3 linked regions of the Arabidopsis thaliana genome follow. The protein of the gene in region 3 interacts with the protein of the main gene of each other region in a biochemical or structural test. Each region holds a gene or a part of one and is shown on either strand. Other genes may lie near its edges.

The links. Proteins that work in one complex are often made in the same cells at the same time.
Region 1: the proteins of HOS1 (region 3) and FVE form a complex in vitro, tested with the Arabidopsis thaliana proteins (one study listed by BioGRID).
Region 2: the proteins of HOS1 (region 3) and HDA15 form a complex in vitro, tested with the Arabidopsis thaliana proteins (one study listed by BioGRID).

What each region holds. Positions count from the first base shown.
Region 1 is NC_003071.7:8,454,047-8,460,147, forward strand, and holds FVE (Transducin family protein / WD-40 repeat family protein), read left to right. Parts: upstream 1-1,709; 5' UTR 1,710-1,959; coding exon 1,960-2,243; intron 2,244-2,598; coding exon 2,599-2,662; intron 2,663-2,755; coding exon 2,756-2,842; intron 2,843-2,951; coding exon 2,952-3,014; intron 3,015-3,187; coding exon 3,188-3,253; intron 3,254-3,397; coding exon 3,398-3,472; intron 3,473-3,609; coding exon 3,610-3,685; intron 3,686-3,758; coding exon 3,759-3,954; intron 3,955-4,064; coding exon 4,065-4,146; intron 4,147-4,226; coding exon 4,227-4,300; intron 4,301-4,374; coding exon 4,375-4,486; intron 4,487-4,571; coding exon 4,572-4,646; intron 4,647-4,750; coding exon 4,751-4,818; intron 4,819-4,902; coding exon 4,903-5,002; intron 5,003-5,087; coding exon 5,088-5,189; 3' UTR 5,190-5,596; downstream 5,597-6,101. UniProt on the Arabidopsis thaliana protein: Core histone-binding subunit that may target chromatin assembly factors, chromatin remodeling factors and histone deacetylases to their histone substrates in a manner that is regulated by nucleosomal DNA.
Region 2 is NC_003074.8:6,359,556-6,366,120, forward strand, and holds HDA15 (histone deacetylase 15), read left to right. Parts: upstream 1-1,620; 5' UTR 1,621-1,739; intron 1,740-1,997; 5' UTR 1,998-2,049; coding exon 2,050-2,184; intron 2,185-2,278; coding exon 2,279-2,464; intron 2,465-2,591; coding exon 2,592-2,694; intron 2,695-2,810; coding exon 2,811-2,875; intron 2,876-3,014; coding exon 3,015-3,090; intron 3,091-3,409; coding exon 3,410-3,474; intron 3,475-3,576; coding exon 3,577-3,632; intron 3,633-3,796; coding exon 3,797-3,920; intron 3,921-4,030; coding exon 4,031-4,156; intron 4,157-4,272; coding exon 4,273-4,323; intron 4,324-4,436; coding exon 4,437-4,505; intron 4,506-4,723; coding exon 4,724-4,832; intron 4,833-4,975; coding exon 4,976-5,055; intron 5,056-5,157; coding exon 5,158-5,240; coding exon of another isoform or gene 5,241-5,268; exon of another isoform or gene 5,269-5,321; coding exon 5,322-5,367; exon of another isoform or gene 5,368-5,448; coding exon 5,449-5,627; coding exon of another isoform or gene 5,628-5,631; exon of another isoform or gene 5,632-5,702; coding exon 5,703-5,844; 3' UTR 5,845-6,060; and 1 more. Other genes in the region: RTFL20 (ROTUNDIFOLIA like 20), read left to right, coding at 580-741. UniProt on the Arabidopsis thaliana protein: Responsible for the deacetylation of lysine residues on the N-terminal part of the core histones (H2A, H2B, H3 and H4).
Region 3 is NC_003071.7:16,610,974-16,618,648, forward strand, and holds HOS1 (ubiquitin-protein ligase), read left to right. Parts: upstream 1-1,803; 5' UTR 1,804-1,967; coding exon 1,968-2,057; intron 2,058-2,193; coding exon 2,194-2,584; intron 2,585-2,869; coding exon 2,870-3,004; intron 3,005-3,094; coding exon 3,095-3,270; intron 3,271-3,758; coding exon 3,759-4,160; intron 4,161-4,278; coding exon 4,279-4,437; intron 4,438-4,541; coding exon 4,542-5,033; intron 5,034-5,451; coding exon 5,452-5,589; intron 5,590-5,803; coding exon 5,804-6,441; intron 6,442-6,666; coding exon 6,667-6,829; 3' UTR 6,830-7,149; downstream 7,150-7,675. Other genes in the region: AT2G39805 (Integral membrane Yip1 family protein), read right to left, coding at 260-428, 616-696, 796-853, 1,327-1,380; eIF6B (Translation initiation factor IF6), read left to right, coding at 7,486-7,495, 7,591-7,675. UniProt on the Arabidopsis thaliana protein: E3 ubiquitin-protein ligase that mediates ubiquitination and subsequent proteasomal degradation of the transcription factor ICE1. Acts as a negative regulator of cold signaling pathways.

The sequences.
Region 1 (6,101 bases), 8.2 Mb from region 3:
TATTTGACATTTGATTAAAAATCATGTTTGCCTTACATGCATAATATCTTAAATGCTTGTATCACATGTCTCTAACTACCACGAAAAACTTTGTGTATAAAAAATTCAAATCTTTAATTTTTGGACGACAAATTCATTAGCGTTACTAATTTCATTGTACCTATCAGTTTTATGACGATAATAATACAATTTATTTCGTCCCAAAAAAAATAATATTTATTTATTAAGTTAATAGGAAAATAGGTGTAAATATACAAATATGTATATGTAATATGCAATTAGAGAATATATGAAACACCACTATACTATCAACATTAATATTAGTAAGATGAGAAACATAAATTAGATGATTTGAGTCAATATTTTTCCCTAGTAATCTTAGTAATAGTTTTTTTTTTCTTTTATTTGCATAGTTCATATACATATTTGTATACATATATGTTGTGCAGATCTAAAATTTTTGTTTAATACCTATTTTGCACCTCTACCAAATAAATTGTGTTAGAATTTTAAAAAATTCATAATCACAACAAAATTTCTAACACTATTTAATTTGTTGATCATAAAAAATCTGAATTTTTATGCACAAAACGTTTCTTAATAGTCAAAACTAGTGATATAAGAAGTGCAATGCCAAGAATTATAGAGATTTGAAGCGAAATTTTAAAATGACATGATTATACATAACTTTTAAGTTCTAAACTATAATCATAATAAAAAAAATTAAGATATTAAATAGAGCGAACAGACGTTTAGGTTTTTTTCGGATTTACCATATTCATCAGATTAATCCATGCTGGATTGAGAAAAAGCCTCAAGCTTGGAACAACTACATGTAAATCATAACCTCGAGATATTTTAAGGCTTTCAATGTCCCAAAGAAAGTTATTTGGTGTCGAATCCATGAGTGAAAATTGAGCTTTTCACATAGAACAAAGAGGGATATGAAATAGTACAATTTTATGTTTTAAATAAAGAAGATAAAATGAAAGGTAAATTTTATAGGTTTAGCCAGCAGAGAACAAATGAAATGAATGTTTTAAGTTTAGACACCAAGAACAAACTTAGGGTTCAAGTCTAAGCTTAGTCATATACTTCTGAACAATATTGGACTTTATTGTTCAAGTATTAAACAAACATTGAAATCTTCTTAAATCACTTTTCAAAATGCAACGAGGATCTATTCTTTTTTTTTTTTTCAGAAGAAGCTACAAGAAAGAACAACAAGTTTGGATATGAATTATAAAGTTAGTAATCCATGTAAGAGACGCTTATATTAATTAATTTATACTGTTAATTATTTCATCCGTAATTTTTATTATTATTCAATAAAGTATTTATTTTACTGAATTAAAAAATAATAATTATGGGTGTTTGGATATTCGGTCGGGTATTTTGGGTTTGAGTTTTTCGGGTTTAGAATTTTAAGATCCGTTCGAGTAATTCAAGATTCCGGGTCGGGTTTGGTTCGGTTTCGGGTTTAGTTATATATTGAAATATCAAAATTTTGTGTCCGAATCTATTAAATTATTTGAAAATTTCAAAAATTCCCTAAACAACCCGAGTAGTTTTGCTTGAATATATTTAAAAATACATAAAAGTAACTAAAATATCCGAAAAATCATAATATTGTCTATATGTAAATATAAATATAAATATTTTAGTTATATTTATATTTAAGATATGTTTGGGTACCAGTTCGGGTTCGGGTTTTTCAGGTTTTGAAGTTTAGATTCAGTCGGATATTTGAAAATTTCAGGTTCGAATTTAGATTGGGATTTTTGGATTGGGATTTTTGGATCGGGTTCAGATCGGTTTTTTCGGATTCAGGTATTATGTCCAAAGTAAAAATGGTAAACGGTGGTTGTTTTGTTTGTATTTGTAAAGCAGAAGAGAGAGAGATATAGAGACACTGAAAGCAAAGACCAAAAAAGAAAAATTAAAAAGAGAGAGAGGAAAATGGAGAGCGACGAAGCAGCAGCAGTGTCTCCTCAAGCAACGACACCGAGCGGAGGAACCGGAGCTTCTGGGCCGAAGAAGAGAGGTCGGAAACCTAAAACCAAGGAAGATTCTCAGACGCCGTCGTCTCAGCAACAGAGCGATGTTAAAATGAAAGAAAGTGGGAAGAAAACGCAGCAGTCGCCGAGTGTTGACGAGAAGTACTCTCAGTGGAAAGGTCTCGTCCCCATTCTCTACGACTGGCTCGCTAACCATAACCTCGTCTGGCCTTCACTCTCTTGCAGGTCTCCCCCTTTCTCCTTTCCTCTCCTTCTAGGGTTTCGTTTCGTAATCGTTTCTTAGCTTTGAACATTCTCATGTTTGGAATGAATTTAGTAAAATCTTACACATACATTTTCTCGATTTCTGGGTTTAAGTGAGATTGTTGCGATTGTTCTAGTTAGGGTTTTGGATGTGGCTCTGTCTTCATACCTTGATATATCTGATGTTCTATTCATGAATTGTTACTATTGATTACCTTGTTGGTTACTAATGACTAAGAGGAATTTTCAGTTTCTCTGAGTGTTTATATCTGATGAAGTCTTTAGTTGTTGTGCTAAGAGTTTCCATTTGGTGAATTGTTGTTTGATTTTTTTATAGATGGGGTCCGCAGCTTGAGCAAGCAACCTACAAGAATCGCCAGCGTCTGTACCTCTCAGAGCAAGTAAGTTTTTAGCTTTCTCTTGTATCTTGTTGTCTCATCTTCTTTATATACTTCTCATCGTATTATTTGTATTTTTCTTGGTTGTGTCACCAGACTGATGGAAGTGTGCCCAATACTTTGGTCATAGCAAATTGTGAAGTTGTTAAGCCAAGGGTTGCTGCAGCAGAGCACATTTCTCAGGTATTATGTGGTTTAATACTAAGCTTGTGTCCTTTCCATATCCTACTCCACACTACAATTGGTTTCATGTTTGACACTTATATACTATCTTCTGAAAATGTGTTCTCAGTTCAATGAAGAAGCACGTTCTCCATTTGTGAAGAAGTACAAGACCATCATTCACCCTGGAGAGGTGTGAATTCTGCCCACTCTTGAGATATTTCTGTATTGACATTGTTCTTTTTAGTTCTATTTGGTTTGTTAATTGTATCTGCATCCCTGTTTCATCTGTCCATGAAGTTATTCGTTTGGCACGTTGGTGAAAGTAAATTTTGATGTGTATTCATTACTAATTTGCAATTGCAGGTTAACAGAATCAGGGAACTCCCACAGAATAGTAAGATTGTTGCTACTCACACCGACAGTCCTGATGTGAGTGCTGCTTCTATTTTGTTATGGTCATAGCAACTTGAAATATGTCGGTTTCATATTTCTGTATTTGGCAGTCAAAGAGCATCCTTTGTTCGGACATATGTCCAGTTTCAGAGTTATCTAAATACAATATGTTGATTTCAGGTTCTCATTTGGGATGTTGAAACCCAACCAAACCGTCATGCTGTGCTTGGAGCTGCAAATTCCCGTCCAGATTTGGTATGTCCACTTCTGAGAATGTTGTTTTATGCTTTATTCTTGTTTGTTTCTCATCATTGGAAGTGATAAATCTCTTTGATATCTTCTTAAATAGTGCTTCTTGTTTGCATCATCTGAATGAACCATTTTTCATGCAGATACTAACTGGGCACCAAGATAATGCTGAATTTGCTCTTGCCATGTGCCCAACGGAACCCTTTGTGCTCTCCGGAGGTTTGTGTTTCTGTAATTTGTAGAGTCCAATCCTGTGGTTTGCCAGTTTCTCATACAAAAGTTCTTCTCTTAGGCAAGGACAAGTCAGTTGTTTTGTGGAGTATCCAAGATCACATCACAACGATTGGGACAGATTCCAAATCATCTGGATCTATCATCAAACAGACTGGTGAAGGTACTGATAAGAATGAGAGTCCTACTGTTGGCCCACGAGGTGTATATCATGGCCATGAAGATACAGTTGAAGATGTGGCATTCAGCCCGACGAGGTAACTTCTTAGAACAGACTCCTTCTATTGATATCGTGTTTGTTTATGCATACTGCAGATATTTTCATGATTTTCTAATAATACTTCTGGTGAACTTTTATACCGTGAAGTGCACAAGAATTCTGCAGTGTTGGTGATGATTCTTGCCTTATACTATGGGATGCGAGAACTGGCACAAACCCTGTCACGAAGGTACTCTATCTTTTGAATCCTATCAAAAGTTTGAAGATTTACCTCCTTTTGATATTATATCTTACTTTTTTGTTTTCCAGGTTGAAAAAGCGCATGATGCTGATCTTCATTGTGTTGATTGGAATCCTCATGACGACAATCTGATCCTGACAGGGTATGGAGAAATACATACAAATAGATGATTAATACATACTTAGTATCTAATTAAGAAATTGATGAATATTTCAGGTCAGCAGACAACACTGTCCGGTTGTTTGATCGTAGGAAGCTTACCGCTAATGGAGTTGGTTCGCCTATTTACAAATTTGAGGGACACAAAGCTGCTGTTCTTTGTGTTCAGGTATAATCAACTTTTTTTTTTTTTTTCCTTCTTTGTATGAAGTATATCTCTTAACCCACTGACACTATCTTGTTATTCAATTCAGTGGTCTCCTGATAAGTCATCCGTCTTTGGGAGCTCTGCAGAAGATGGTCTCTTGAACATCTGGGATTATGACAGGGTGTGTACATAGTTCACTCAGATGTCTAAAATTAATCTTTCTTCACTATCATCACTGAAACATATTCATTGTACTCATGTTTGGTTTGTTTAATTAACCATCAGGTCAGTAAGAAGTCTGATCGTGCAGCTAAAAGCCCCGCTGGGCTCTTCTTCCAGCATGCTGGTCACAGGTTCTTAAAGACTTATCTTGATTTTTCTTGATTGCTTTCTCATTTTACTTGCTTCTAAGTTCCCTTGTTTATAAACCATATTAGGGACAAAGTTGTTGATTTCCACTGGAATGCTTCAGACCCTTGGACTATTGTCAGTGTTTCTGATGACTGTGAGACTACTGGTGGAGGTGGAACATTGCAGGTAACCTTGAAATCTTTCTTGGTACCTTGATAAGCAATTTTATTGACATACCGTTAAATGTTGTTTATACTTTCTTCTATGGCAGATATGGCGGATGAGTGACTTGATTTACAGACCAGAAGAAGAAGTCGTGGCAGAATTGGAGAAGTTCAAGTCGCATGTTATGACTTGTGCCTCCAAGCCTTAAGAGTAAAGAAAACCCATTGTCTATCTATCTATCGCCTATGGTAAACTAATGCGGGTTTTAGCGAGGAGTCTTGGTTTTTGTAAGGCTGGTTTGTCTTTTGAGATATTGGTGGTAGCTTTTAGGACCTTTCCATATCAGTTAGGGGTACATGGTTCTGGTTCATGATCCTGTTTCATCAGACTCTTAGGTGCTGTTTTGTTCAACTGAGATGTTAATCAAATCGGACCAACTTTATGTGTTTTGGTTTAAGGTTTCAATACTTGGCCTGAACCTAATGATTCCTTCTCTGTAACTAGTCGAGACCAACCCGGCTACAAAAAAAATAGTTGCATTGATGTTCAAATGCAAAGCAGAAGGGGTCATTATAAAACAATATAGTAATAAGCATCGCAAAATTTGGAAACTGGGTTCTTGATGATTCGTCGCATCTTAAATAATGTTTGCATTGTCGTTTTCATTAGAAAAAAACTGTTAATCACGCTTAGCAGTAGGATTAGGTGATTTTCAATTCACAGATTTATTCGTAGGATTTTGAAGAAATTTTAAGTATTAACAGTCACTAAACAATCAGACCATTGCAAATCATACATAGATCACCTGGTCATTTCATAAAACTAAACTATATGATAATGTTTTACTTTATTGGGCTTAACGTTAATGGTCCTCCCGCTTAATAGGCTTTATGAAGTCTCTTGATGAGCTAGAGACTTTAAAAATCCAATCACAAAGCCTACATGAGACCGTCAAGATCAGTCAGAGAAGATCAAACGAAGAAGTTTTTGTTCCAAAAGATACTAAAGAGAGAAACATGAATCAATGTATTGCTTGAGGAATAAGGTAGGGAAGCTAATCAATCACAAGTAGACGAATCGGAGTATTTCATAAAATTAGGGTTTTTAGACCTACATTTTC
Region 2 (6,565 bases), on a different chromosome or scaffold from region 3:
TTTGACTAGCTCGTGCATTTCTCTAAAGGCAAGGCATATAACACTTAGTTTCGTGATTTTTTATAGTCATGCAGAAGTTTTTAAACATGTATTTCAAAACAAACCCGAAAGCTCCTTGGAATTTGCATTTTATGTATTTATTTAGCAGTTAACCATAACGTTAGTTTGCATGTTCAATTTAAATTCAAAGAAATTAAGATGAGATATGGACGGTCTGCAATACCGTATGTTCTAACATAATATTCCAATAATCAAAGTGAATAAATCAATCTCTACCGATGATGAATCTTTGAACTGAAAGGAGACAAGAAAACAATACATCAAATATTTTCAACCATAATGGGAAGCTAGTCGGTCACACTTCACAAAGTGGCCTTTATTTTTGGGTTGTTTCGTTGAAGGGTCCCGAATCAATGGTAGGGAATACTTTCTCCTTATCTCTTTCTCTCTCACTCCAATATATATAATATGATGAATCTTCACTTCCATTTAAACATCACACAATCATCACACAATCACCCTGAATCCCTGATAATAAGGAAAAACAAAAAAGTTTGTTTTATAAACACACTTTAAACAATGAGGGAGAAGTACACAAAGGAGGAAGCAGTGAAGAATTGGGAGAAGAAGAAGAACAAGCCTTCTTCACCAAAAGGAGTTGGAGAGTTTCTGAAAAAGAAGAAAGGAAGGTTCTACATTATTGGAAAATGTATTACTATGCTTCTTTGTTCACACAAGTGATAGTCAACACACATTTTTTCATACATATTTATGTTATCATGTATAGGTATAGATGATGATAGAGGTATAAAAAGGAGAGAGAGCTCAACATATTTACATCTTTAACATTTCGGTGTTCATCTCTCATTTTATGTGGGTGTGTTCTTGTTGTCGTCGTCGTTGTTATATATGGAAATATATCACTCAATATTCTTCTTGTGAACTATATATATAACGGAATACTATCTCCCATAGTCCCATGTTTGTAGAATTAATATTAATGTATGAATAATAAATTCTTAGAGAAAAGACAAAGACGATGCTTTTGAGTACTATATGGAGATGCATGCACACAAACATGTATTATATAACAAAGAAATTGGATTCAGTACTTACAGTTAGAATTAGGTTAAGGTAAAAGAAAAAGGTAAGGGAAACAAATATCAGTCTCACATGTGTTAATGCGCTTGGGCGTATTTTGATTATGTTAGCTGGTCATTATCAGTTAGTTTAACCATTAGTCATTCTACAATCTGTAGTGTGACGTTTAATTACCTGATGATTCAAACATTTTTCACTATAAATATTATGAAGTTATCAGTTAGGTTATTTACCAAACAAAAATTCAATGACATAACAACTAAAGTCTCATTCCCTTTAAAAAATGGTAACTTTTGTAATCCATTTCGAGAAGACAACAAACCTAAATTGGCTTTGTGAAGTAAGATTCAGTCGTACTTTGCTCTTTCAATACTTGAACATTAATGAAAAATTCCAAGCAAAAGGAAATAAAAATAAATAGTTTGACTCAAATTTGGTAATGGGCTTATAGTGTTATTGGGTCTTCATCTTCAGCCCAAATAATCTTTTACTCTTTCAAGTCTGAACGTCGTCATCTTCGTTGTCGCCGTCGTCGTTTCTCTCATTTCTGCTCTGTTGTGCTATCGTAGCGTCGCGCTCCTTTAAACGCGACGGACGCAGCCTTCTCTGTTCATCGTTTCGCCGGAAGTTTTCTTCAGGTATGATATTTTGAGACCGTCGTTGATATTTTTATTCAGTTTCCATAGAGAAAAAAAAACAATTCCTGAGTTCTGGATCGAGGATCGATTTCGATAATACTCGAAGAAAAGTTGGGTTCTTCGTAAAGTTATTTGTTGTAGCTGTGTGTGGAGTTCTTTACATTTTCTTCGATTTTGATTTTAGCTCTTCGTATATGAAACTTTTTGATTTTTAAAATTTCTCAAATTGGGTTTTTCTTTGTTTCTCTTTTGGCACAGCGGAGATTTATTTTCAGCTGGTTAGTAGTTTTGAGTGACTACTGAGGTAACAATGGTTGTAGAAACTATCGAGAGGTCTTGTGAGGGTTCAAAGAGAAGACATGTGAACGGTGGAGATATCGCTGTTCCTTGTTCGGGAGAAGAGTGTAGCAATGGAGATATAAATGTAGCTCCTGGAGTTTCAGCGGTAAGCTAAAAACCATGGCTTCCTTTTAATGTATTGTCAGAGATTTGGTTGGTTCTGCTTTTGGTGATATTGGTCATTGTTGTGTCTTATGCAGAAAAGAGCTAGGGTTTCTAGAGAAATGACGTTTGAAGATATTTACGGTGCTGATGCATTACTCAATGATGACGATGATGAGGATGATGATTGTGATTGGGAACCTGTGCAGGCGCCTATGGAGTTTGTAAAATGGTGTTGTGTCAATTGCACTATGTCGAACCCTGGTGATATGGTCCACTGTTGTGTACGTTTTTTATTTACTTTTTCTTGCTTGGCTACTACTTTTTATGATTTCAAAGTGACAAACGTACGTCTGAGCAATGCGCATTGGACATTGGTTATGTATTAGTAAAGTTGATTCCTTGACGTAGATATGCGGTGAGCACAAGGAATCTGGCATTTTGAGGCATGGATATTTAGCGTCTCCCTTTTTTAAAGACACTGGTCTCATTGAAGTCGAGGAGAAATATGGAGGTAGGAATTACTTCCCTTGCTTCCTCTGAAAATGTCTTTATAAATATTGTTAGTCTCAGTTCCATGCTATTTAAGTAACTGTAAGCATGTTCACTTTTCTTTTAACTTGATATTAGGAAGCTCATCTGCAACCAGCTCGACAGCTGTTGGGTTCGACGAGAGAATGTTGCTACACTCAGAAGTATGATCTTGTTACTGTTATGTGTTATGTTTTCCTGAGAAACCTCTAGTATCTGTTGACATCTCTACATTATCATCTCCAAAGCTTTTCTTCGTGCAAGTTTTTCTATTTAATATGTGCTGATGGCATGCTTAAAAAGTTTGAAGTGAAGGCACAACCACATCCAGAGAGACCTGATCGTCTTCGAGCTATAGCTGCTAGTCTTGCCACAGCTGGTATGTTGCGTTTACTTCCTTTAAACCTAGCCTCTCTTGAGAAGAAGACTAATGTTTGGAAGCTGATTATTATTAAGATTTGGAGATCATTATATAGATCTCTTGCAGCCGAGGTAAGTTAAAACTAAAAAGGAAAATAATAAAATTCTAATTCTAAAAGGAAAAGATCAGAACATAACTTCTTCAATTAAGAAGCTTCTAGCGTCCTTGTCTACCTTCTCTGAGACTTGATCCCATATATCATATCATGTGTTTCATTTTACAGTATCATACTGTTGGGAGTAATTTTGGTACTCACCACGTTTGAATTTTTTTGCAGGTGTTTTTCCTGGAAGATGCTTGCCTATCAATGCAAGGGAAATCACGAAACAAGAACTCCAGATGGTGAGCTGCTACATAACTGTCTTAGAGACAATTCTAATATTATGTTCATTGCAGTACTTTTACAAGCAATTTCATAACTGGTTTGTATATGTCAATTTTGAGGTCCACACTTCAGAGCATGTTGATGCTGTTGATACTACAAGCCAGCTTCTCTATAGGTTTGAATTTTAAACCATTTGTTACTTTTTTTTTTGCGTTCACCGTGCATATCCTTGCTTGTTAATCTGACTGTTCAAACTTGAATTGAAATTTCCTTTACCTTCGCTGCTCCTCATTTATCTCTTTTTGCTCTTGATCCCGTTCTTTTACCATTGTCTGGCAGCTACTTCACCTCTGACACATATGCTAATGAGTATTCAGCACGTGCTGCTAGACTTGCAGCAGGTTTGTGCGCTGATCTAGCTACAGATATTTTCACTGGCCGTGTAAAAAATGGTTTTGCTTTGGTATGTCTAATTCACCAAAATTTTTAAATTTAAAGATGCAACTACACAATTGCTTTAAATTGAAATTACACCATATTAGTTTGAAAAAAAAAAATCTCTGATTGTATCAGGTTAGACCTCCCGGTCATCATGCTGGCGTCAGGCATGCTATGGGGTTTTGCCTTCACAATAATGCAGCCGTTGCTGCATTAGTAGCACAAGCAGCAGGGGCAAAGAAGGTGCTGATTGTGGACTGGGTAATGTTACTGATAACTCTAAACTGGGTGATTTTGTAGATCTTCAAACTTTTTTAATTCGTTGTACTCTGCATTGTGTGGTTTGGCTCATATCAATGTTATATCTACCGTTGCAGGATGTCCATCATGGCAACGGAACCCAAGAGATATTCGAACAAAACAAATCTGTAAGCTGCCCAAATCTATGCATGTCTGCACATCAATTTTGGAGTGTTGGATGCAGTAAATTATTTTTGTGAGTTGACCTTGTTTGAACTTATTACTGGGAGTCATTGCATAGGTATTGTACATATCCTTGCACAGACATGAGGGAGGAAACTTCTATCCCGGTACTGGAGCTGCTGATGAGGTACCTATGCTTTTCTGTTTTACATTGTCTCATCCAGCATTCATGAGTAGATTTAGTTGTTGGTATATATATGCATATACCTTATTTGTGTGTTTGGTTTGCATTATGATTTATGTCTTAAATTTTGGGATTATTTTCTAATTTCTGCCTTGTTTCCAAAATTTGAATTTTCTCTAGGCGGCAGAACAATAGTTTGCTAATGTTAATTATGGGTGCAGGTTGGTTCTAATGGTGGGGAAGGTTATTGTGTAAATGTTCCATGGAGTTGCGGTGGAGTTGGGGATAAAGACTATATCTTTGCGTTTCAACATGTGGTTCTCCCCATAGGTACAGAGTCGTTCTACTTTTCCCCATTTGATAAACGTTTTGGCTTAATTGATGACTAATATGCTCAGGAAGTGGACCAAATACATTTAGCTCACTTTTGAATGTGCACTCAGTCTAATTTTAACTGGAACCTTCTCTTGCAGCTTCTGCATTTTCTCCAGATTTTGTCATCATATCTGCGGGATTTGATGCGGCTAGAGGAGACCCACTAGGATGCTGTGATGTAAGCTTCATATTCGAGCTGTAATTTACCACTTCTGGAATCAGTGTATTGTTTTGTGGATATCAACAGAGGATAGATGTTCTGTTCTACTCCTTTTTTCAGGTGACTCCGGCTGGCTATTCTCGAATGACACAGATGTTGGGTGATCTGTGTGGTGGGAAAATGCTAGTTATTCTCGAGGGCGGGTATGTGTTTTGCAGTTTTTTGGAGTAGCCTCTTGGTTTGTAAGGAGCAGCTTTTGAATAATCTCCTGTTTTCATTTGCAGCTACAATCTTCGCTCCATATCTGCTTCTGCAACAGCAGTGATCAAGGTTAGTCTCTATTTCAAACTTGATATCCTTTAAAATCTGCATATAGTTATGGAGATTCATGATCCCGCTTAATCTATAAAGGTGCTTCTGGGTGAAAATCCGGAGAACGAGTTGCCCATCGCCACCACGCCTTCAGTAGCCGGCCTGCAAACTGTTCTTGATGTACTGAATATCCAACTGGAGTTCTGGCCATCACTTGCTATCAGCTACTCCAAATTACTCTCAGAGTTGGAAGCACGTCTGATCGAAAACAAAAGTGAGTGATGCTTCCCAAAAAAAAAACTATTTCATTCTTCATCCTTCTTTCTCCTAATAAAATCTCACTGGTTTTACAGAAAATCAGATGAAAAGGAAGGTTGTTCGGGTTCCGACATGGTGGAAATGGGGACGAAAGAAGCTTTTGTACAACTTTCTCTCGGCTCGTATGATTTCAAGATCAAAGTGATTTTAGAAAGCATTCTTCCTAATCCGTCGTAGGAATTGTCTACACTTACTTGTAACCCTAACTGATCTGGGGGAATTTATTGCAATTAGGGAGCTCTGAACAATCTTTATCACTTACATTTGGTAGGGTTTTATAGAAAGAACCCTTTTAACCTGCTTACCAACCATCCTCATCAGACCTCTTAAGCTAGGCAATCGGTTTGGATAAACGAATTCCTACTTTAACCAAATTTATAGTTCGGTTTGGTTTATCTTAAAATTATTGATGTCGAACCAAACCAAAAACAAATTTCTTGTTCATTTCTCGGTGTCCAAAATCCTCATTTTCCAATAATTCCGGTATATTCTTTTTGGTTTTGGTATATTTCAATCAATTTCAGTATATTTGACACAGTTTGATACGGCTAGGAAATTTGATTTACAAAAAAGAAAAAAGTAGAAGAATTTAAGAATATTTAGAAATTTATGAAAAACTAAAAGAGCTTCTAAATACGGATATGTTCAATCTTCCAAAACCAAACAAAACAGTTTTGTCGGTATTTTGAACCAAATCTAATTACCAAAATTTTGGCACTGTTCGGCTAAGAATATTAGTCCAGCTCTATTAAATAAGAACTTTCGAATAATCGCTTCGATTCAGATTAATTCTTTCTGATTTTAGGTAGATAGAGGGGCTATCGGTTAATTTCGATTATGAACTAGCTGAATTTTTGTAAATCAACCACATTTTATTTAATCATATGTTTGTTTTCTA
Region 3 (7,675 bases):
AGGATAACATATTATGATGCTTTCTGTTCATTTGTCCAAGAGAAAATGAGGATATTTTAATCAATCGCCTGAAGTAACATAGGAGTAAATGAATAGCAAGATCATGCTTTCGGAAAGGTGCAGAAGATAACACTTAGAACGGTAACAAATTAACGGCATGACTGAGCAATGGACCGATTAAAGAAATTCGAAAGAACTCTCTCATGGTAAGTACAATCACCAAGAAGAGTGAAGGAGAAAAAGGCATTAAAAGACTTACAAATCAGGGTTTGCATCAATCTTGTTGAAAAAATCTCCACTAGTAGGATATAAAGAGCTCATTAATCTGTTCAAAACAACGTCCGTGTCCACGTCGAAGTATTGGGTATATGAGTAGACATTAAAAAAGCCCTTCCAGTTGTTTGATGGCTGTTGTGCTGGTCCTTCTACTGGAGCAGATAAGATATATCACCATATAAGACAGAACAAGGTGAAAACAAAGGTATATAGGATCTTGACATCCATAAGAAAAACGAGGTTGACTCACACAAGTATTCTTTCAACCATTGTACTGATTCATGGTGACTACAGATAAAAATATCTCCTAAAAAAGGAATCTAAAAGGAGCATATATACCTGTTGGGCTCTCAAGAGTTTGATAACCCTTTGTATTGTTTCCTAGATTCGGTGGAAATATTTGCATGCTTGCAGAAGGGCCTGCAATAATGCAGAAGACATACAACACTCAATGTCTTTCACTACCGGAAAAGTTCTTTGCAAAAGATAATTCAAGCAGAAACTAGCAAAAGAACACACCTTCATTGACGCTTGCTATTGGTACATTTGTGCTTCTCTTGTCGTCGCTGATCACAGCCTAAGAATACAGATGTTTGTATCAGACATAATAACACGGGGATAGTCAATCCATTCACTCAAAACATTTATCTTAGCGGATTCAATCCAAAATGAAGCTATCATGCAAGCATTTAAACTCAAATACAGTTTTGTTTTTCATACGAATTGTCTCCTAAAATGGTGAAAAAACTTAAATAAAACGCCTTAACAAATATAGAAACCCAGAAATGCAAATAAGGAAATCGTCCATTGTTCTATGAGTGTGAAGACTTTAGGCATCATCGTGGACGCGAAAAAATATGACAAAAAAATCTGAAAAGTTTCAAAATTCTACTTCCTAATGTAACACTTGAGACAGAACAACAAACAAAATGATGGCATGAACAAAAAACGTTAATTTTCCCTTCACACAAACAAGGATCATAGAAAAACTCAATCAAAGAGCTTATTGATGGTGAAATGAAAGAAGCAATAGATGTAATATAGACTTACCGGAACTGAACCAAGCAAATGGCTTGATTGTAGATTAGCGAACGACTCATCCATCGATCAAAGAGAAAAAGATATCAAAGAAAAACTTAGAAGATAGGTTCTTCTAATCTCATTCAAAAATCGATAAGATCGGAAAAAAGGTCGTCCCTTTTTCTGAATTTTTAAGGTTTCTGGGTTTGCTTCTCCTCCTCCGTCGTCGTGGAAGCAATTGGGAAAGGAAGAGAAACTAAAGAAAGAACGATCCACGCGCTTTCTTAGCAAGTCGGTAAAACACGCGCTGTTCACTTTCGGACACGTGATTTGCCGACTTGGGCCCAGACAATCACAAGATTCACACAAGACTTCAAAAACAAAGGCCCATATTTAAATTTTGACCCGAATCGTGATTTGCCGACTTGGGCCCAGACAATCACAAGATTCACACAAGACTTCAAAAAGAAAGGCCCATATTTAAAATTTGACCCGAATTAAACAATCCGACTTGACCCGTTTGAGGAGAAATTCACTCAACAGTGTTTCCTCTCTTCGTCTTCCCTCCCGAGAAAGCTCAACGGAGCCCTAGACTGGTTTTATCACTCTCGCCAACACCAACCACGCTTTTTCTCTCTTTACCTCCATTTTTGTATTCGTCACCGGAGTAGATGGATACGAGAGAAATCAACGGTTTTGCCTCCGCCGCGAGATCGATATCTCTTCCTACGCAGCCTAATTACAGTAGCAAGCCTGTTCAGGTTCTTCCGCTTTATACCTTTTTATTTCTCCACTGAATTAGTTTAGCTCAGGTCTTAGGATTTCTAGGTTCAGCTTAAAAAAATGGGTTTTGCAGAGCTTAGAGTTAATTTCGAATTTATTGTTTGTAACTTACAGGAGGCGTTGAAACATTTGGCATCTATAAACCTCAGAGAATTATGTAATGAGGCAAAAGTTGAGCGATGTCGTGCAACAAGAGACTTAGCTAGCTGTGGAAGATTTGTGAACTATGTGTTGAATCCATGTGGTCATGCCTCCTTGTGCACAGAGTGTTGTCAGAGGTGTGATGTTTGTCCTATCTGTAGAAGTACGCTACCAAAATTTGGAGATAGACTTAGGCTTCGTCTCTATTATGAGTGTGTTGAAGCTGGTTTGATTTCCCGAACACATGAAGAGGCGTCACAGGATTCGGATGAGGATGAACATCAATTGGCAGCTGATGTTCATCGCCTTTATTCTCTGTTTGATGTTGCTATGAACAATAATTTGATCTCGGTGGTTTGCCATTGTATCCTTCAGTTGCATTTATGCTTGGTGTCTGATATATGCATTTAGTCTTTTAGTTTCCTGTTTGATACTTTCATGAATTTCTTTTAGATTCGTATGCTTGTGCTATTAGGAACTGTGTTTATATGGGGAGTTTTGTACTGATAGGTTCATGTATTTTTAGGTAGTTCTTGTTTCATGCTTGTCTCTGTTGGGCGAAATGTGCATAGTGTTTTTGTCATTCATTCTCTAAGAGGTATTTTATGTTGGATGCATAGTTGACATCTCCTTGACAGAAAATTAATAGATATCACCAATGTCTGTATGGATGAGACAGCTGTATCTAGTGATCCGGTCATTGCTTTCTTGCTGGATGAAGTTGTTGTCAAGGATTGGGTCAAGCGTACATTCCGGAGCACCTTAGCTGAACTTCAAGAAATCTGTATCCTTTTAGCTGTTAATATTTTTATGTTTCTTAAGACTGTATATTTGTGCACCGTAAGGTCTGTCTATCTTTAATATTGGCCCTCAGATAATCTTGAAACAAAAGAGATGCAAGCGTGGTTAGATAAACTCCTAAGGTGTTCCAAACAGGTGGCTGGCATATGTAGTGTGCTCGAAGTTATGGAATCAGCTTTTAAGGGTTCTGTGTCACCTCAGCTTCAAGATGTGCAGACGCTGAGAGAGAACATTGGTAAAACAAAGCAGGTCAGCCATGATTTCATTTCATTGATATCCAAACAGTTTTGCAAAAGTATGCTTAAATAACTCTCTTTATCCCCCTTAGAAATATCCGTTGTACATTGAAGTTTCCTACGTGCATTAATGTTTAGTTTGCCTCTGTCATAGAATGAGTTACTTGTTTTGTATACGGCTTGCAGTAAAGTTTGTACTGTAAAAGCTTTGCATTTAGATGTATGAAAGGCACGATAATGGTCTTCCATCATCAGCTTGGATCTGATTTTCTATCCCTAGCTTTGTGACTTTATTCTTCTTTTCTTTTTTAATGTCATTGCATATTAGTGAATGTAGATGGGGTATATGTAACCTATCTTTATATGACATACTGAATAGTAAATGAGTATAACCTTATGGCTTCTGACCAGAGAGTGTTTTAAATAGATCAGCTCTTTAGCTATTGGTGCAAGATCACTGAGCTTACGTGTGCTTACCCTATTCTTTTTATTTTATTTCAGCATTTGGACATAATGGTCTGGTGCATCAGACATGGATTTCTGGATGATGTGAGGTCTCGATATTCGAATTTCACATCGTGGAATGCACTGGTAGGGGAAAGAAAATCAAATGCAGTTAAGCGTGCATGGCCTGATGCTGTAGACCAGTCTTCAGATTGCAGTGTACAGAGTGCTTCCCTCTTTATTGAGGATGCTTTAGAAAATCTTGAGAGAGAGCCAGAATACAGTCAGGAAATAGGTGCCGACCTAGAAGTTGGACGTTTACAGAAGGATAAGAGATCATTTCTTAGGTCCAAAATAGAGGGAACTTCAGGATCTTATCCATTTGAGAATCTTAGAACTGCTGCTGACATGCTCTTTTTACATGGCGGTTCAGATTTGGTTGTTGCGAAGCAAGCAATTGTATCCTTTTGTCATCGCCTAGTTTCACATTACATTGCACTTTACTTTTAATGAATACTTGAATCAGGAAACATTCCCATGTTTTTCCTTTACGCTGGTTTCCTTAACCAGAAGATAGTTTCTTTACTACCTGTTTGATCGGCATTGGACTACCCCTGAAAAATATTGGAAGCACACTATAGATGATTTTGCTGCTACGTTTGGCATAACGAGGCATTCATTGCTGGAGTCTTTTGTATTTTATCTTCTCGATGATCACTCAGAGGAGGCACTCCAGGTATCTTTTGGCATTCCCAAGGAAAACTTATAGAAACGTGTATTTTATTGTGCCATACATTTATTAATTGGTGTAGCTTACAAACTTTCCAAATTATATTTCAGGAAGCTTGTAGGATTCTACCTGAAATATGCGGTCCAGAAACCTACCCCAAAGTTGCGCAAGTCCTGTTAGAAAGGGATAACCCTGAAACAGCTCTTATGGTCTTGCGTTGGTCTGGTCGTGATGGTGTATCAGAATTGGTTTCAATTGGTGAAGCTGTCACAGCTCTTCGTGTGAGAGTGGAATGTGGTCTTTTGAGTGAAGCATTCACATACCAAAGGACACTCTGCTTGAAAGTAAAGGAAAATAATTTGAAAAATGGAGCTGTGAAACATGCGTCTGATGATCTAGACATCTGGAGTTGGACGGAATGGATGGAGATACTTGTCAATGAATTCTGCTGTCTTTCTATTCGGAGAAACTTGGTTGATCGAATCATTGAGTTACCGTGGAACCCAGATGAGGAGAAATATCTGCACAGATGCTTATTAGATTCGGCAACTGATGACCCCTCATCAGCTGTGGGTAGTCTCTTGGTTGTCTTTTATCTTCAGGTAAGTAATTATATTTTCAAACTTTAAATAACTTCACTTGAACAATGGGCTGAGAATTGTTTTTCAGAACGAGAATAGCTTTAGCAACAGGCAAATAGATATTTAGACAGCAGCTTAAACCTCCCGAGCTTTAAGCTACATATTGAAAATTTTAATAAGGGATCTCAATGATGGCTCTGTATAGAATTAGCTCATTCTATAGAGACTGGTATATGTTCTCGTATTTGATGTGTGGCTTCAACAATCTTTTATAATTCGAGCTTGGTGTAGTCTGGGATGTTGGTTAACAAGCATGAAATTATTTGAACAACCAGGGAAACTGCATCACTATAGACCATGCTTATTTTCTGGAAAGTTATTATCTTTTGTATATGGTCTTTCTTTGACTAGAAATTACTGGTTGTTCACATTGCTGCAGCGCTACCGTTACATCCAGGCATACCAAGTCGATCTTAGGCTTCAGAAAATCGAAGAGGCTTTCGTATCCGACAATCAAATTGGGGAAGAAGTTATGTTCAGAATGCGATCACAGAGTCATTGGAGAAAAGAGTTAGTTGTAAGTATTTCAGCCAACTTTCCATGTACAAGTGGATCCTTCCATAGTTCCTTGTTAAAGGCTACATCCTCACATTTGCGTTTTAGTGCTTAATAACCTGTTGATGCTTGCAGGATTGTCTAGTATTCTGAAACTTGAATGTACAATATTACTTGATACTGGCTTTTTTTAACTGGACATTTAAACCTCCCGTGTCTCTGCTCCTTTGAAACAGGATAGAGCCATAGATATACTTCCAGTAATTCAGCAGCAGCAAGTTAGATCTGGACAATTTTCTGAGATGGAAGATGCCTCTGAAGGAGCAAAAAAATCTGATCTTCCTGATGCACCTGACATGATTACTTCTTCAGTTCCCTTTGCCACTACTAATTCCGTTTTTCTCCAAAGTGCTAACAATGCCAGAGCTAGAGAGCCAGTGGCTAATAATGGCAGTCCTTTTCAACCTGGTCATATGATAGGAAACGCGTCCCATGATCTTTCACATGGAAGGTTATTTACAAACGCAAATAGAGGACAAAAGAGTGAAGTTAGAAGCGTAACCAAGAATCTGAAATTCGGTGAAATGTCAACTCCGTTCAAAGATCTAAATAGAGCTCGTGGGAACAGCCAGCTCCAAGGGAAAAGGACTGAAGAATCCTCTCCAGAAGTAAATGTTGATAGATACATAGAGAATAATATGAGCTCTCCTTATCTCCGCCGAATCACAGCTAACAATCCCGTGACAGTGAAATCTAGCAGCAACCATCTCAATGGATCTTCACAGAAACCGGAATCCACCTTTTTTGGCACAAGGATGCAACCAGACAAAGATAACTTTGTTGATTTGGATGATCCAATGGACATGTCTTCGAGGTATTCCTCTCTTCTTTATCTCTTAGCCATTTGTTCCTTTCTGAATCGTGCCATTAAAGTAGAGGACACTGGTATTGTTTGGTATAAAACTATTGTTACCGTTTGGTTTGAAAATAAAGTCCAGTTTGGTTTCAGTCTAAGGAACTTTGTTTGGTTCTTATGTCCACGGCTTTTAGTCTTATATTGGATGAGCTACATATCAATTGTGTGTATTATGAATTGCAGCTTAAAGGACAACAACAACAATGTCTTGGCCACGGAGAGCAGAAATAACAGTGGTGGATTGAGATGGCGGTCAGATGAAACAAGCGATGACGAAGATGAACTGACTAGTTTTGGTTCCATGCCGGTGAAGGGAAGGAGGAGACGTAGATTCGCAGCAAGATGAAATGAAACAAACACTCGAAAAGACCATCATCAATTATGTTTAAAGCATAGAGAAAGAGAGAGAGAGGTAGAGCAAGTTGTGTAAAGAGGGGAGAGAGACTGTTACAGTGAGCGTTGTTCTCCTGTTATTTTTTGTGCTGAATTTTGTGTATTTCTTCTCTAGTCTACCTTTTTTGGACAGTTATTTTAAAGATATCATTGTGATGAGCGGAGTGATATTATTATTATGAGTATGTTTAATTTCTTATATTGGTGCAGCTGATTGTTGAATCGTAGAAGTTATAACAACACATTGAGATTAAATCATTTTCTTTTTACATTCACAATTTCCTCTCAAAATTTTAATTTTTAACTTTTTTATTATTTACCAAAACTAATAAATGGAAATAAGTAGCATAAGCTTGTTCCAAGTTTCTGATATATAAATAGGGTTTTCGGAAGAGAGAATAGGGTCTCTTCCTATCGTTCCGTCACTTTTTGTTCCGATTTGTCGACAAGGTAAACCTTAAAACTAAATCTTTCAATATAGCATAACCAATGATCCGAAAACCTAAATCTTTCATTCTCTGTTTCTGCCTTGGATCTGTATTGAAATTCATAATCTCATATTAGGTTTTCGTGTTACTTAATTCCGCAGGTGTTTGTTGGATCCATATCATGGCGACTCGTGAGTTTCCCTTAAGCTTTAGCTTTTTATACGATGCTTTCTTTTCAAGTTGCTTACAGGATTGTTCTTTTTTTTTCTGTTCTTGTTTTTGGCAGGTCTTCAATATGATAACAATAATTGCGAAATTGGTGTCTTTTCCAAACTCACAAATGCTTATTGTCTCGTTTCCGCAACATCTGC